Drosophila melanogaster: one gene and its partners. The protein of the gene in region 1 purifies or fractionates together with the protein of each later gene. This does not show direct contact. Each region holds a gene or a part of one and is shown in the gene's direction. Other genes may lie near its edges.

Region 1 (6,323 bases):
GATTGCTCTAGCAGCAGCTCTTGCGTCTGGGCTTTCTCCAGCAGATTCTCGCCGCCAACGAGAATTTTACCTTCCAATGAGACTAGTTTATTGCGAAGTGTTTCCTGCTCCGTCTTAGCATGCTCGATTTCCTTCTGATGCTCGTTTTTGCGCTTGGCCAGTTCCTCCTTTTCGGCATCGGTTTTCTCGCGCTTCTTCTTGGGTTTTTTCTCCACAGCCTGGATCGTTGATGATTCCAATTCGATCTCCAGTGGTGCCTCCAGTTCGTCATCTGCTGTATCCTCCTCCTCTTCGGAGCTCGGTGGCTCCTCCTCCAAGCTGTCGCCCTCCTCCAATTGCTTGCGAAGTCGGGCAATCTCCTCCTGAAAGTGACGAAGCAAAGCATCCTTGGGTTCCTCATTGATGTGCATGCGATTTTGGATATTCTTAGCACGACTAGCATAGCGAAGTGTGGATATAGTTTCCATATAATTGCTATCCGCTGGACTAATGGTGGCACACATGACGGTCTTGGAGTTACCACCGAGGGAGTCCTGCAGAAGTCGAGTTAACTTGGAGTTCCGATACGGTATGTGGGTGCTTTTTCCATCCACCAAAGCACTGATCACATTTCCCAGCACCGATAGCGAAAGATTAATCTTGGTGGCCTCTTTAAGTCTCTGTCCACTGGCCTGGGTCTTCGACTGCCTTTCGGAGCCGGCGAGATCCACCAGCTGTAGTTTACCCATCCTTACGTGCTGGACATCACCTTCGCCCAGCTCACTTCTCTCCACAGTAATGGAGAAAATGGCATGGGAGCGGGAGCTCTCCTGGTTCATTTTGGTGGCTCCCACGGCACGATTTTTGTTACCCAAACGCATGATGTTCTCCAGATCATCGGCGTTGTGCACCACATAGCCACTGAGATCCTTAACAAAGACACCGATGTCCGGTCGCTCCTTGACCTCCAGGCTCTTGCCCACATCCTTGCCCAGTAGATCCCGCACCTCTTCGTTATAGATCTCCATGTAGCTGACGCGCACCAGGAACTTCTGATTCTCCTTGGCCTTAGCAATGTGACCAAAGATGTGCGCAAATGCATTCGGAATGATGCCCTTTGTTTGCGGCGAATCCGGATTCCCCGACATGGTATACGTCTTGCCGGTGCCCGTTTGTCCGTAGGCCAAGATGGTGCCATTATAGCCCTCCAGCACCTTGTCCACAATCGGACGAGCGGTGTCCACATAGAGATCCATTTGATTGGAGCCACCATCGAATACATTGTCGAAGTAGTACGTTTTCGGCGGTTCATTGGCGGTGGCATTCGGTTTCATCACCGTAATGGCCCGGTTGATCTTATCCACCGAAATCGCACTTAGCGCTCCCGCGGACAACTCATTTTTGTCCATGGGTCGCGTTCGCACCACCACACGCACATTCTCGATTTCGTCATCGAGTTGGGCCGTTGTTCCCGCATTTGCCTCCTCCTGCGGCATGGCGATCTACGTCCTGGCTTTATTCCTCGTCTAGTGAAAGCTATTAACCACTATTTGCGCTGACCGCACTTAGTGGAAATCAATAAAGGGGGTTTTTTCTCGCATTTGTTTATGCGTTGCTAGGTTTTTTTTGTTGGCGAATCATTAACGGGTGGTCAGCTGTTATCGATAAGTGTGCGAAAAACGGGCGAGAAGGATGCCAGACCAGCGGAAAAATCTATTCATCAGTGAGACAAAATAATTTTATATATTTTTTTTTAAATAATATATATATAAAAACAATTAGCAAAAATAAAAATAAAATTATAATATTGACCTGTGATATAAGCAATCGAAGGTTATTTTGTGAACTGCGATAATTGTACTTATTTTTACTTTTTGAAAATCCTTTTTCAAGGCTTTTAAGAATTTTATAGATATTTCGAAAAGAATTCAATAATAAAAATTAAAATCTTTTTTTGTGATAACAGCGCAGTGAAACATGAAAAATTACATAACAGCAACCAAAAATTTGGCTAAGGCTAAGGCAGCTGTTTTTAGAGCTGTTCTGTCAACTTATCTTATGAAATCATCAAGTGGTTTCTAAAAAATCAAAAAATCCAACTTAATGTCAACAAGTAGTTCCAATTAGATTATGAAGTATTTTGAATCAACAAGTTGGAAAACCGTAAATTCGAAGATATAATAAAGAACATGAAAGAAAAAAAAAACACTAAAAGCAATTAAGGTACACTGTGTAACAAATATTTATTAAAAAAGAAAAAAATAAAAAGTGATATTTTAAATGTATTATTTAAATTATACATACATTAATATCATATTATAAATAAATATCATACAGTAAATAAAAAAATAATAATAAAATAAAATTAAAATATCTGTTTAAAAATACCAAAATATCGCCCCCGCCGATTCCGATTCGCTGGCAAACGAGCGAGTTGCCCACCACCACCTCCGCGAGAGAGCAGCGAAGAAGAGGAAGACGTTGTGGCAGTGGTACTGAAAGATTGATTCGATTGGCGATTGGCTGCCCGCAGAGTTTCCTTAAACGACCAGACGACGCAGAAATTAAAACTCCGGCCACCATGGCAGCGACATTGCGAAGATTCCATGGCTTGAGATTGCTGAAATCCGCGCCAGCACTCAGCCTGCAGCAGGTAAAGATCGTGAACGGCGGATGCAAGTTTTTCAACAGCCACCGCAGCACCTTGAAGGAGTCGTGTGTCCGATGGAGAAAAACATGAAATAATACCGTAAAACATAAAATACAAGGACCAATGGTGCACTCTAGGTGGCACAGTGAGTGGTATCCGCAATTCCAATGGGATTAAATGAACTCGGATACGAACCGAACAATCCAATTATGTAACTCCGTGCAAAAATTCTTACTCTCCTTGGCCGAACATCCAAACTAAATGACATCCGTTCTTTTTGCAGGCGAAGAACCTCTCCTCCGCCGGCAGCTGGGCCAGTGGCAACAAGAAGGTAAGTCAGCTAGTCAGGAATCTCACATATTCCCCCACTTCGCATTTCATAATACCCGATCGGACCTAACCTCAAAACGCGTTTGCTTCTCGGTGACTGTGTGCGGCTGTATGTGCGTGTGTGTGCATCACGAACAGCTGATCGGCGCCTTGGGAGCAATCACCGGCGGAGTGGGCGCCCTTATCTACGCCCTGGAGCAGTCCGTGCAGGCATCTGGCGGCGAGGTGCACTCCCCCGCGCAACTCTGGAACCACAAGGGCCTCTTCGACGCTTTGGACCACCAGAGGTAATCCAAAAAACGGCGGTTAAACTGATCAGTGGTCGGGAACTGGGCATTTCCATCTGTGGTGGAGCTAACTAAGTGCATTTCTAGTGAATTGGTTTAGATTGCTGTCAAATTTCAAAAAGAGTTCTTTAATGATTAGAGAGATTTTGTTTGAAGTATTTTATTTTATCTCAAACTCGCCAATACAAATATCATATTCAATTTAGAAAACGTAGCCAATTTTCCCGGCAAATCTTCTGTAATCTTTAAAAACTGATAACAACTATAGATTAACAACAATACTTTGCTCATAAAAGCTAATCAGAACAGCAACTAGCAGAACATAGAAGATTAATGGATTGTTAAATGGGGATTTTAGTTAAAATTAAAGATATTAAAGAATGTTTTGTAGTATCTGCATATAAGATGGCATTTGCCCACTGACCCTGCTATCCAGTTAGTAACATCATCTCAATTCCTACTTTCAGCGTTCGTCGCGGCTACGAGGTGTACAAGCAGGTGTGCTCCGCCTGCCACTCGATGCAATACATTGCCTACCGCAATCTGGTTGGTGTCACCCACACCGAAGCCGAGGCTAAGGCTGAAGCCGAGCAGATCACGGTGGGTATTCGAATTTTTAGATTTCTAGATCTAAATGTTTCCTAATTGATTTGAATGTCCCCGTTACAGGTCAAGGACGGTCCCGATGATACCGGCAACTACTACACTCGTCCTGGCAAGCTGTCGGACTACTTCCCATCGCCGTATCCCAACGAGGAGGCGGCCCGTGCTGCCAACAACGGTGCTTATCCTCCGGATCTGAGCTACATCGTGTCGGCCCGCAAGGGCGGAGAGGATTACATCTTCTCGCTGCTCACGGGCTACCATGATGCTCCTGCCGGAGTGGTGCTGCGCGAGGGTCAGTACTTCAACCCGTACTTCCCGGGCGGTGCCATTTCCATGGCGCAGGTTTTGTACAACGAGGTGGGTGGCTGATCAAATACTAGTTCTATATTTTCCTTCTCAGAAAGAAACTAATGATTTGAAAACGATATAAGAGAACACGATTGCAATCTTTAATGATTATCCCCTTTCCAGGTCATCGAGTACGAGGACGGCACACCGCCGACGCAGAGCCAGCTGGCCAAGGACGTGGCCACTTTCCTGAAGTGGACTTCCGAGCCGGAGCACGACGATCGCAAGCAGCTGCTGATCAAGGTGATTGGCATCCTTGGCTTCCTGACCGTCATCTCGTATTACATTAAGCGGCACAAGTGGTCGTCGCTCAAGTCGCGGAAGATTGTGTTCGTGCCCAAGGAGAAGTAGAATGTTTGAATTTGATTTTGATGGTGTGAAGAAATGCAGTGTTATCGCGGCTTTACCGACTAATAAAGATAAATCAATTTTAAGCAAAAACCAAAACCACACACAAGTGAACAAGCAACATCCGCAACCACCAAGTCAATGTTCTCTCCGCTGAAAAATATAAACACAAATACTATCCCAATATGCGAGAGCCAGCCAACCAAACGATTCAAAATAAAACTAAATAGCTAAATCTAAAACATCCTTGGTAACCTACTGATGGTAACCAAACAAAGATCGGATCGGAAGATTCAATGAGCGGGGGATTGAGGCTACAAAGACTACAGGAGCCTAGCGAAATGATTGATGGATAATGTGACATTGATTGTGTATAGAATCGATAAATCAATTATGTATTTAAAACAATAAACAATTGACAAATAAACGGAAATGATGGTTGGTTGGAAAATCATTTCTAGGCGGGACATCAAAATGTTTCAATTTGTTACTTGATTTTGTTTTGTTTATAAGTTTTTAAGTAACCCCACTAGATTACATGGATACACTACGTTTTATTGGATTAATTGTTTTATTTAGAAGCTTAAATTAAAGTATTATTTTAATCATCGTTCATCGTTCTGTCCGCTCGATTTGCTCATCGGCTTAGTGTGTGTGTGTTTCTATATATATATATATATATCTATAATTTCCACAATTCAATGATTATAAATCGCGTCCCTCGTCCCAAGCGATTCGGGAGGAAGATTTTCGAAAGAATAGAATATAAAATCAACTACAAAATCGCTTCATCAATGATAAACAAAAAAAAAAAACGTTCGTACTGGCGCCGTCTACAAAAATTGTGTTCGACATGTTGGTTTTATTTAAATTAATATATATTTTGCTTTATGTATATAATTAATAAATTTTTAGTTTAGGCAAAAAAAAACAATAATTACGCTCGGATCTCACGCTGTGATCTTGATTAATCGTTATCATTGTTATGCATTACTTTTCTGTTCGATTAGTTTACGAATTTTCGATTTGAAGTTTTGAATCTGAAACATTCAGGCATTTAACTTGTTTCTTTTGCTGCTGTTTTATTTCTTATTCAAAAGAAGTTCTCATATTTTCGTTTCGTTTTGTTTGGGGACTGAAGTTGAAGTAGTAAGAAGAGTAAGGTAACCAAACACGATGACATAGTTCATGACGGAAGGGACGACGACGACCTCTTCATAGTGACGCTCCTATCGCATTTTTCGCTGCTGTTCCCTTTACTTATAGTATATAGCTTGCATTTGGTTGTTGTTCTTGCCACAATAACCGCACTCGATCTTTATTACGTTCATTAATAAGCATACGCTGCCACCGATGGCAACTCGGCGGAGCAGCCGCCACACAATCTCTTTTTAATTCCACGCACGTGTGGCCACCTTGGTCTTGGACTTTTGGACTGATGATGGTGGTTCGTTTTCCGGCTCTTACTGGGTGTGGATGCTGCTCCCGCTCGCGTTGCATTCGATGCTGTTGCAGCTGCTGCTGGTGTTGCTAACGGATGTTGTCGACTAAAAACAGCTACCTTCTGGCGGCTGTGCCAGCTTCAGGTTCTCTTTCATGGTCATAATCCTACGGATTTCCTGCAGCATCGTTTTTATATTGTACTCGCGACTCCATCTGGCCAACATCTGAACTGATCTATGATCAACCTGTTGCAAATTCAAATATATTAGCATTCGTCGTTGTTTATATGCCACATTCGATTGCTTGCACTTACCACGCCATTGTTCTGATTA
Region 2 (4,339 bases), about 12 Mb from region 1:
TCCGATTTGATTCTGGAGTGGGAGCCGCACACGCCCATCTCCTTTGACCCGGAAATGAGGCTCACTGAGTACAATATGGCCCAGTTCTGGCACAACACTACGATTGTGCAGTCGGATGGGGACAATCTGCGGCATGGAGCTTTTGGTTAGCATACGAGGTGTTTGTTGGAGGAATATTTCTTAATACTGTTTCCTTGCAGCTGGTAACTATAGTTCGCTGAGCTTTACGGTCAATCTGAAGCGAGAAATTGGCTTCTATTTGCTCGACTATTACCTGCCCTCCATGATGATCGTGGCCATCTCTTGGGTGTCCTTCTGGCTTCAGGCGGACGCATCTCCTCCAAGGATTATGCTGGGTAATTACATTTAAATACTATTAACTTAAGCAACATTTCGTATTCGAAATCCATAATTAATTTGTTGACCTGCAACACAGTGCGTATGTGTTATATTCATTTAGAACATTGCGCATACGTCATGTTGAGTCATAGAATAAATGATTGCTTAAATTAAAGGAATAATTACAACATCTTAGAAAGAATTTAGTAACTCGAAATGATTATGATATGACTCACTTGTAACTAATATCCAATGCTCTTAGGAACCAGCACCATGTTGTCGTTCATCACGCTTTCCTCATCGCAGAGCAAGAACCTGCCCAAGGTGAGCTACATAAAGGTGTCGGAGGTGTGGTTCCTGGGCTGCACCTTCTTCATCTTCGGCAGCCTGGTGGAGTTTGCCTTTGTCAACACCATTTGGCGCCGCAAGGAGAACATTGAGCTGAAGAAGGTCAACAGCAAGTACATCATAAAATCCACATTGACACCACGACCGGCCCGCCGTCAAATTGGCGGAAGTTTGAGCAACGAGTCCAGGGCTAGATCGTGTTCCAGTTTGGACAACATTGTTTCCAGCACGGAGAGCGTGCGCAATGGCAATGGCACTGTGAATCAGGGCTTCAACAACTATTTGACAGTGCATGTAAGTACTCCAGATCGATGTCTTTCATGAGCTTTCTGTATTTTAACATTTCTCATGTCCTTAGCCCAATTTACCCATCATAAGAACGGAGTGCGCCGAGGCAGATACAGTGTCTATCTGCAGTGCGCGTACGAACAACGATCATATCGTGGATGTGGACAAGGATAAAAAGGACACGCCGCCCACCTTTACCACCATGACACCGCAGGAGATCGCCATGTGGATAGACCGGCGGTCGCGATTTCTTTTTCCGGCCATGTTCCTCGCCTTCAACGCTCTGTATTGGACCTTCGTCTATGTTTTGTAAGCGGATGTAGGCAGATGCCGCCGTTTATGTGAAATCTTGTCTATTTGCGTAGTCCTGATCGCGCAAATAATTGTTAAAGTGTAAGATGCATCATCTCATAGCTGTATAAATGTTAATCATTAATAAAGGTATAAACTATATCTCAACATTCGTATAAAAGGCTAATAATGGCAGGAAAAGTATTCTTGCTTGACAACTCATTTTAATCTAATGCATTTTGAATACAATAAAATTATTTATATGATATTTTACATATATTGAGATGAATGTGCCATCTTTAGTGGGCAAGTTTGAATACTTTGTATGCCTAATCACAGAAAATGAAGTTAAAAAGATAAGTAGCCCTCGATTTTACAATTCCATGTGTCTATTCTGTCTATTAATTTGAATAAATATAATCTTTTCGTTCACGAAATTTAAGTTTTTAAGCCGCTCACATATTTTATTACGGCAAAGGTAAGCAATTATGTTTTACATTATTTTATTGTTATATTTTAATAAGAATCCACTAATAGTTTAAAGATCCGCTATCCACACAAATTAGGTTCAAGTCCACGCTGAAAGTCTACAAAGTTACACATTCTGGTGGTGGCCTGCACTTAGCTTCTGTCCAAGACATCAATCTTAAAAAGCGGCACTTTTAGGACATTTTTCAAAAATAAAGCCTAACTGCTTGGTATGTTCAAGCGGCCCGTCCACGGTCACACTGGTTGAGACGAGTCGAGAGGAAATTGCAGCGTAAAAGTCGAATTTCAAGGTAAAAATTTGGCATCATAATCGGTACAATGGCAGGTGCTGGCTCTAAAAATATGCACAATTATGGGCTGCCAAAAGTGCAGAGATCGCGCCCAGTGTTAGACGTACTCGGCCGCCTTCATCCGCGGAGCAGTGCGAAAATTACATAACCTCCGGGTGCAGCAAATATAGGAGCACCACCTAGGCCATAATGTTTATAATAACGATCTGTGTCTTCATACAAATCCTGGTGCACTTCCTCTGCGGTTGCTAATCAAAGCTTTCCCCATCCGCAGCCCCACAACCATGCGTCTATCCTCGATCCTGAATGGCCAGCATTTTGGCAACTTGGCCAAGGTGCACGGCATCGTCACCTACAAGCTGTCGCCCTTCGAGCAGCGCGCCTTCGCTGGAGCGATCAGCAAGGGACTGCCCAACATGGTGCGTCGCTTCCGCTCCAACGTCTTCATCGTTACTCCCCGTAAGTAAATCGCTCAGGATTCCCGTCGAATCGTATTCTAATACCCAATTTTTCAGCCTTCATCGTGGGATACCTGATCTACGATCTGACCGAACGCAAGCACACCGCCCTGCTGCGCAAGAACCCCGCTGACTACGCGAACGACGAATAAGCGTCCCAACTAGCAGATAGTTATGTTAAACTAATTAATAAAACTAAACCCACAGTTCAAGAGAGTTGTGTGTTTCGGTTGCTGGAAGGCTAAACACCAAAGGCTTTGTACTCATACGTTACACATGGGATAATTTTATGTTCTATTTTATCAGTTTTATTGCTCTGTTTGCTAAACAATTCTAGAGAGAATTTGTTTTTCTGGATGAGCAGCTGCATCAGCTGTTCCCCAGTCTTGGTTTGAGTCCAAGCTATCTCGCCCTGCAATGTCTCAAAATAAAATAACAAAAAATTCATATGATGAGAATTTCAAAGAAAAAACACGACATGGAGGCAATATATTACGTTTTAATAATAAAATAAAAATTTTACTTGTTTTTAATATTCGGTAACGGTCTTAGCATTGATAGTCACCCGCTAGAGTTGCAGAGAATCAATCATCGAAAGTCACCCGAAACAATCGATGAGTGAGAAAAGTAAATAGCCCCACCTCTAGCCACCGCACAGCTGTTTGCAAGCAAAATATTGGCGTTCTAATTGGTTATTGATCCGATATTAGTGCATTAATGGACTGCTGCGGTAACGAAGTGCGCAGCGAAAGTATCCACAACATGCTACAGGCCCTGGTGGACTCAAAGGTGGTCAACGTGCAGCTTTTGTCGATTGCCGTGGGCATTTTCTTCGTGGTCATGCTGCTGAAAAACAATTTTCGCAGCTTTTCTGTCACGTAGATGGATCCAGTTTAGTGTTTAATATATCTCATAATGTAATGTACGCTAAGGATTAATAATAACTACCACAAGCCACCTTGCATCTTGTTTCAGTTCTATGGTTTTTGGAGCACTCCTCGAGGCAGTGACGTCACGTACATTATATGTGTAATATTTTGGGTGCTAGAACGTACTCGTGCTTTTTTCGGTCTCAGGGTCATCGTGTTATTTCGTAGGTGTTTGCACAACAACACGCCCAACCCCAAAAATATAATTGTTTTCGAAGGCCGGGTGAACTGGTTTGACTGCCCCCGAGACTTCCACGGATCGTGCAAAAAAAAAGAAGAAAAAAATAGAGCCCAGAATTTGTTAATTTCATCATCAGGCGACTGTGATTCTTGGCAAGCTGTCTTGCGATAAGATAGGTTATTCGAATACTCGAAGTAAGTCCTACTTGGAACAGGCATTCTCATCCAAAAACTGTTGAACTTTTGCCCCAATTGCCGGAGTAGAAGCCATATCCAATCACACTCAATTGCTATCCACAAACGATTCCAATTGACCGGCGATTGATTGCCCAATGTCTGCACGCACTTCCTGGTGCAGCATTAGAATTCAATAGACGCCCGACTTCAGCTGGCTCCATTCTGCAATCCCGTACTGACTCATTGCCCGGCACTTTCAGAATTTATGCAATACTGCGGTACGTGCTCTTATGCTAAAATATTGCATTAGAACACCCAGCGAACGTGACTTGATTGCAGGGCTAGAAATAGCAGCACTACCTTTAAGCCCTCGGATAAGCCACTGAGACAAGTCTACCTATTCTTCTGATTAGTGTTGCTTATACGAACATGAAGGATCCCATAAATATTCTTAAACATCAACTGATAGTCCTGCAACTGTCTAATCCTTCATATAGCCTGAAAATCTACCTAACTTCACAGCTTACTAATATAAACAAAAAAGTTACAT
Region 3 (3,639 bases), about 20 Mb from region 1:
GAGCTTATTAGTTAAACAGTATTAGTTTTGTAAATTTCTAACGGTATTCCTAAAAACTTTTTGCCACGCCCACAAACCGCCAAAAACTGCCTCGCCCACACTTTTTAAAAATGTTTTTATATTATTTCGTATTAATATTAGTCTTTTATCGATTTTGCAAAAAAAAAAGTTTTGCCATGCCCACTCTAGCGTGAACAAACCGCCCAAAACCGACCTTACCATTGAAAAATGTTTGATTCTTCTTCGTTTTATTGTTTGTCTTCCGGCATTTTAATCGGCATACCAAAGACACTTTGGTCACGCAAACACAAACAAAACGCCCAAAACACACTTTTGAACCATTTTAGGTTTTCCTCATTTTTTAAAATTATTCTAGTGTCTTTGTTTACTCATGCGTCTCTAATGTCTCGAATAAACTTTGCAAAGAAGCATCGAATCTATTTTCTGTGCTTAGAAAAGGGACATATGGCGCGGTTCTGTAGGATTGATGGAATTTAGTTTACTGTGGGCTTACAATCCTTAACTGGTCTGCTATGGAAGAATTACGAGGTGAGGCTGACAGGCAGCTATAATATGAGGGTCATCAACATTGACAGCATACAGAGAAATTGAAAATGGCTATGTCAAGATGATACGTACAGTGACAGTGACAGTGTCTGCCACACTTCGGTGTCGAAAATCCAAATGAACCTACCAAAATACGTATAATCTACGTAATCTATAATGACGCAGCCAAGTCCCGGGATTAGGAGCTGCTTCAAGGTTTCTTGCAGTACACGTTCCTGTCGGAAGTGTGTGTACTTCAGGGAAGCAGCAGTCGGGGTCTAAAGATGGCCCAGGAATTGTCGACAGTCGCACTGAGGAATTTTATAAGCTGCCGTGGACCGGTGGCCAGATTGAGGAGTCAAAACGGAGAAGATGTAGAACGAACTGTCATCAAATTAAATGGAATGAAAATTTCAATGCCGGGCAGGAGGCGTATGCGAGCGGATGGTCCACGGGTTGAAGAAGGTACTCGCGCATACTAATAAAAAAATTAAGGTTAGTTTCAAATATTTTAGGTCTTTTTATTCTGCTTTTTACCACACTATGGTTCCTATTCAAATACAAATTACAACAACTATTCAATACAAATTTTATTTGTGTGTGTAATTTTATAGAGAACACGCATAGTTGTATATATCAATAAAGAAGTTTTCGCATCAGTTTTATGAAAACTTTCTATCACTTAAGCATATATTTATTTGATTGCTTTTAATTAGTTATTGTTTAAAAACTAGAGCAAAAAGAACCAAAAAGACAGAGAAGACAACTCTGGCCCACAACGAATTAGTAATTATTAATTTTCAGTAGATATTTTATCCACTTTTTTTATCAGCTTTTAGCTGATTGAATTTCGTTTTAAAAACACCACGTCATTTTTAAATGTTTGCCTCCAAAAACATGTATCAAGGGAATCAGGAAAAAATTATGAAAAGTTTTAAATAAAAGTTTATAGCCTAAAAAAAATTATCTGACCCCCGTCACGGCGGACAACTGGCCAAAAATTATTTTAATTGCTTTGATTGTACCTTGTGTGAACAGATTTTAACATCTAGGTAAAATTGCAAACGGTTCATAAAGATGTATTCTATTGGGGCTAGGCTATAAGCTTAGCTAATTGATATATATGCATAAAATAATCTGTTTTTGTTGGTCTGGCCCTCATAATTCAGGCATACATAAAATACATTGTGATTGCATCATAGCGGTCTTAAAGGTTATAGTTATTTTTCAAAAATGTAATTTACGTTCATATTCATAAAATTTGGTACTATATATGTTTTTGAATTCTGACTAGTTTATTCTCTTTTTAGCATTAATAATGGCTTTTAGGAACTGGTTTTCGCTTCCCGCCGTCAGAGCTGATGACGAAGAGGACTTAGTTGACCCTCAAGCAGTTTTAAGGGTAAAAAAGATTTCTTTACATCATTTAATATAACACTAAACTGATTTTTATGCAACAGGAAAAATGTCAAGCTAAAGGTCACATAGAATCCTTGTACAATAAGTACCAAGAGTGCAATGATCGTGTTAATGGGCGATCCAAAACAACTGAGACTTGCATCGAAGAATTATTTGACTATGTTGCTGAGTTAGATCATTGCGTTTCGCACAGTCTTTTTACAAAGCTTAAGTAAATACCATTAAAGTCAATTCCATTAAAGGGAAGGGCAGTGCTTAAAAATAAGAACATAAATAAACAAATCTCTTTATCGAGTTTTATACGTGTTTTGTGCCTTTTGGTGATCAGAACCTTTTAGAAGCGAAATTGGGTAGGTAATACTACACTAGTGGGCATAAGTATTTGCACGCCTTTGTTTTAATACTAAACCAAGGGTATTCTATTAAGTTGAGGGCTGGAATTTGAGGTGGCCAATCCAATGTTTTTATGCAAACATTTTTCAGAAACAGTAATCAGTTTGGTCTTATAACAGGGAGCATTATCATGCTGGAGTATGAAGGACTCTCCAATCAATTCATCATCATTATTATTAAGGACATCTAAATATTTTATTTGATTCATGTGTCCATCAACAGGAACCAAATCTCCCAAGACAGTGAAGGCTACGCATCCCCAAAACATAACAGACCCTACTGACTATTCTTTGACATTCTGGTGCCAGTTTTTTTCGATATTCCGATATCGAATTTTCGAAATTTAAAAGGTGGAACCATTTGCCCATGTTTTCCATTGCCAGCGCTTATGCAATGCATTTGCGCTGCAAATGTGTCTGTACGTATGTATATATTTATAATACATTGAAGTATTTGTATTGAGTAAAGTAATATGAGTTTACTGAGTGGGCTTCTTTTTTATTTTAGTTTATTTTTATTGATATTGTTTTCATTAAGTGATGCCATCAACTATGAATAAAAAAGTTTTAACGTGTAATTATGAACTACTTGTTTTTTGTTTAGTTACTTAATTTCATAACAAAACTATCTCCCACTGCTATTTTTATTTTGTTATGTGTAAGTCATTATTTTCATTATTCTTTCATTTATACTCTTCATGCATAGTTCTAGTTTTCTTATATGGTACTTCCAATCTTCATTTACTTTCCTTCTTTCCTATATGATAAATCGGCTGCTCTGCCAAAAACTATATGGAAACTATAGAACGGGTTGTATAAAACAATGTACGAAATTCTGAAGCCACAGGTCCCAATCAGTTTTATCAACTGATATGTATTCAACTGATAAGTTTTCAGATGGTGGTGAGCGGTAAATGTTAAATTTTTAATTTTAAAATTTTTGCAAAAATCGTTGATTATTGAGTGCTTATACTCTGTACCCATGAACGTTTTCAATGGACCGTAAGTCAGGATAAAGGATTCGAAAATTGAATTAGCGACTTGCGATCTTATATAGTATTGGTATTGCAACTAAATATTTAGTTAAGTTACAAATAAAGGTGACTGAAGACTCATTACCATTATCCGACTTTGGTAGAGGAGGACCTATATTACCCACTATTACTTTGTCGAAAGCATAGGGGGTTTCTGTTATTGGGGTTTTCCGTATGCTTAGTTATTTTATTTTTTTGCATTTTAGACATTTCTTGTTGTAGGTTCTGATTTCTTTAGACATACCTTC

The links. The genes of interacting proteins can lie anywhere in the genome.
Region 2: the proteins of Cyt-c1 (region 1) and UQCR-Q fractionate together in Drosophila melanogaster (co-fractionation; one study listed by BioGRID). This does not show direct contact.
Region 3: the proteins of Cyt-c1 (region 1) and UQCR-11 fractionate together in Drosophila melanogaster (co-fractionation; one study listed by BioGRID). This does not show direct contact.

What each region holds. Positions count from the first base shown.
Region 1 is NT_037436.4:5,357,780-5,364,102, forward strand, and holds Cyt-c1 (cytochrome c1), read left to right. Parts: upstream 1-2,431; 5' UTR 2,432-2,560; coding exon 2,561-2,632; intron 2,633-2,912; coding exon 2,913-2,960; intron 2,961-3,097; coding exon 3,098-3,246; intron 3,247-3,713; coding exon 3,714-3,846; intron 3,847-3,915; coding exon 3,916-4,209; intron 4,210-4,323; coding exon 4,324-4,551; 3' UTR 4,552-5,019; downstream 5,020-6,323. Other genes in the region: Klp64D (Kinesin-like protein at 64D), read right to left, coding at 1-1,475; Uev1A (Ubiquitin-conjugating enzyme variant 1A), read right to left, coding at 6,096-6,236, 6,305-6,323.
Region 2 is NT_037436.4:17,473,091-17,477,429, forward strand, and holds UQCR-Q (Ubiquinol-cytochrome c reductase ubiquinone-binding protein), read left to right. Parts: upstream 1-1,958; 5' UTR 1,959-2,045; intron 2,046-2,129; exon of another isoform or gene 2,130-2,234; coding exon of another isoform or gene 2,235-2,297; exon of another isoform or gene 2,298-2,319; 5' UTR 2,320-2,329; coding exon 2,330-2,504; intron 2,505-2,560; coding exon 2,561-2,655; 3' UTR 2,656-3,034; downstream 3,035-4,339. Other genes in the region: SecCl (secretory chloride channel), read left to right, coding at 1-145, 201-356, 602-981, 1,046-1,288; CG46525 (uncharacterized protein), read left to right, coding at 2,235-2,297; CG34250 (uncharacterized protein), read left to right, coding at 3,221-3,381, 3,479-3,536.
Region 3 is NT_037436.4:25,119,038-25,122,676, forward strand, and holds UQCR-11 (Ubiquinol-cytochrome c reductase 11 kDa subunit), read left to right. Parts: upstream 1-1,711; 5' UTR 1,712-1,781; intron 1,782-1,840; 5' UTR 1,841-1,864; coding exon 1,865-1,948; intron 1,949-2,006; coding exon 2,007-2,180; 3' UTR 2,181-2,334; downstream 2,335-3,639.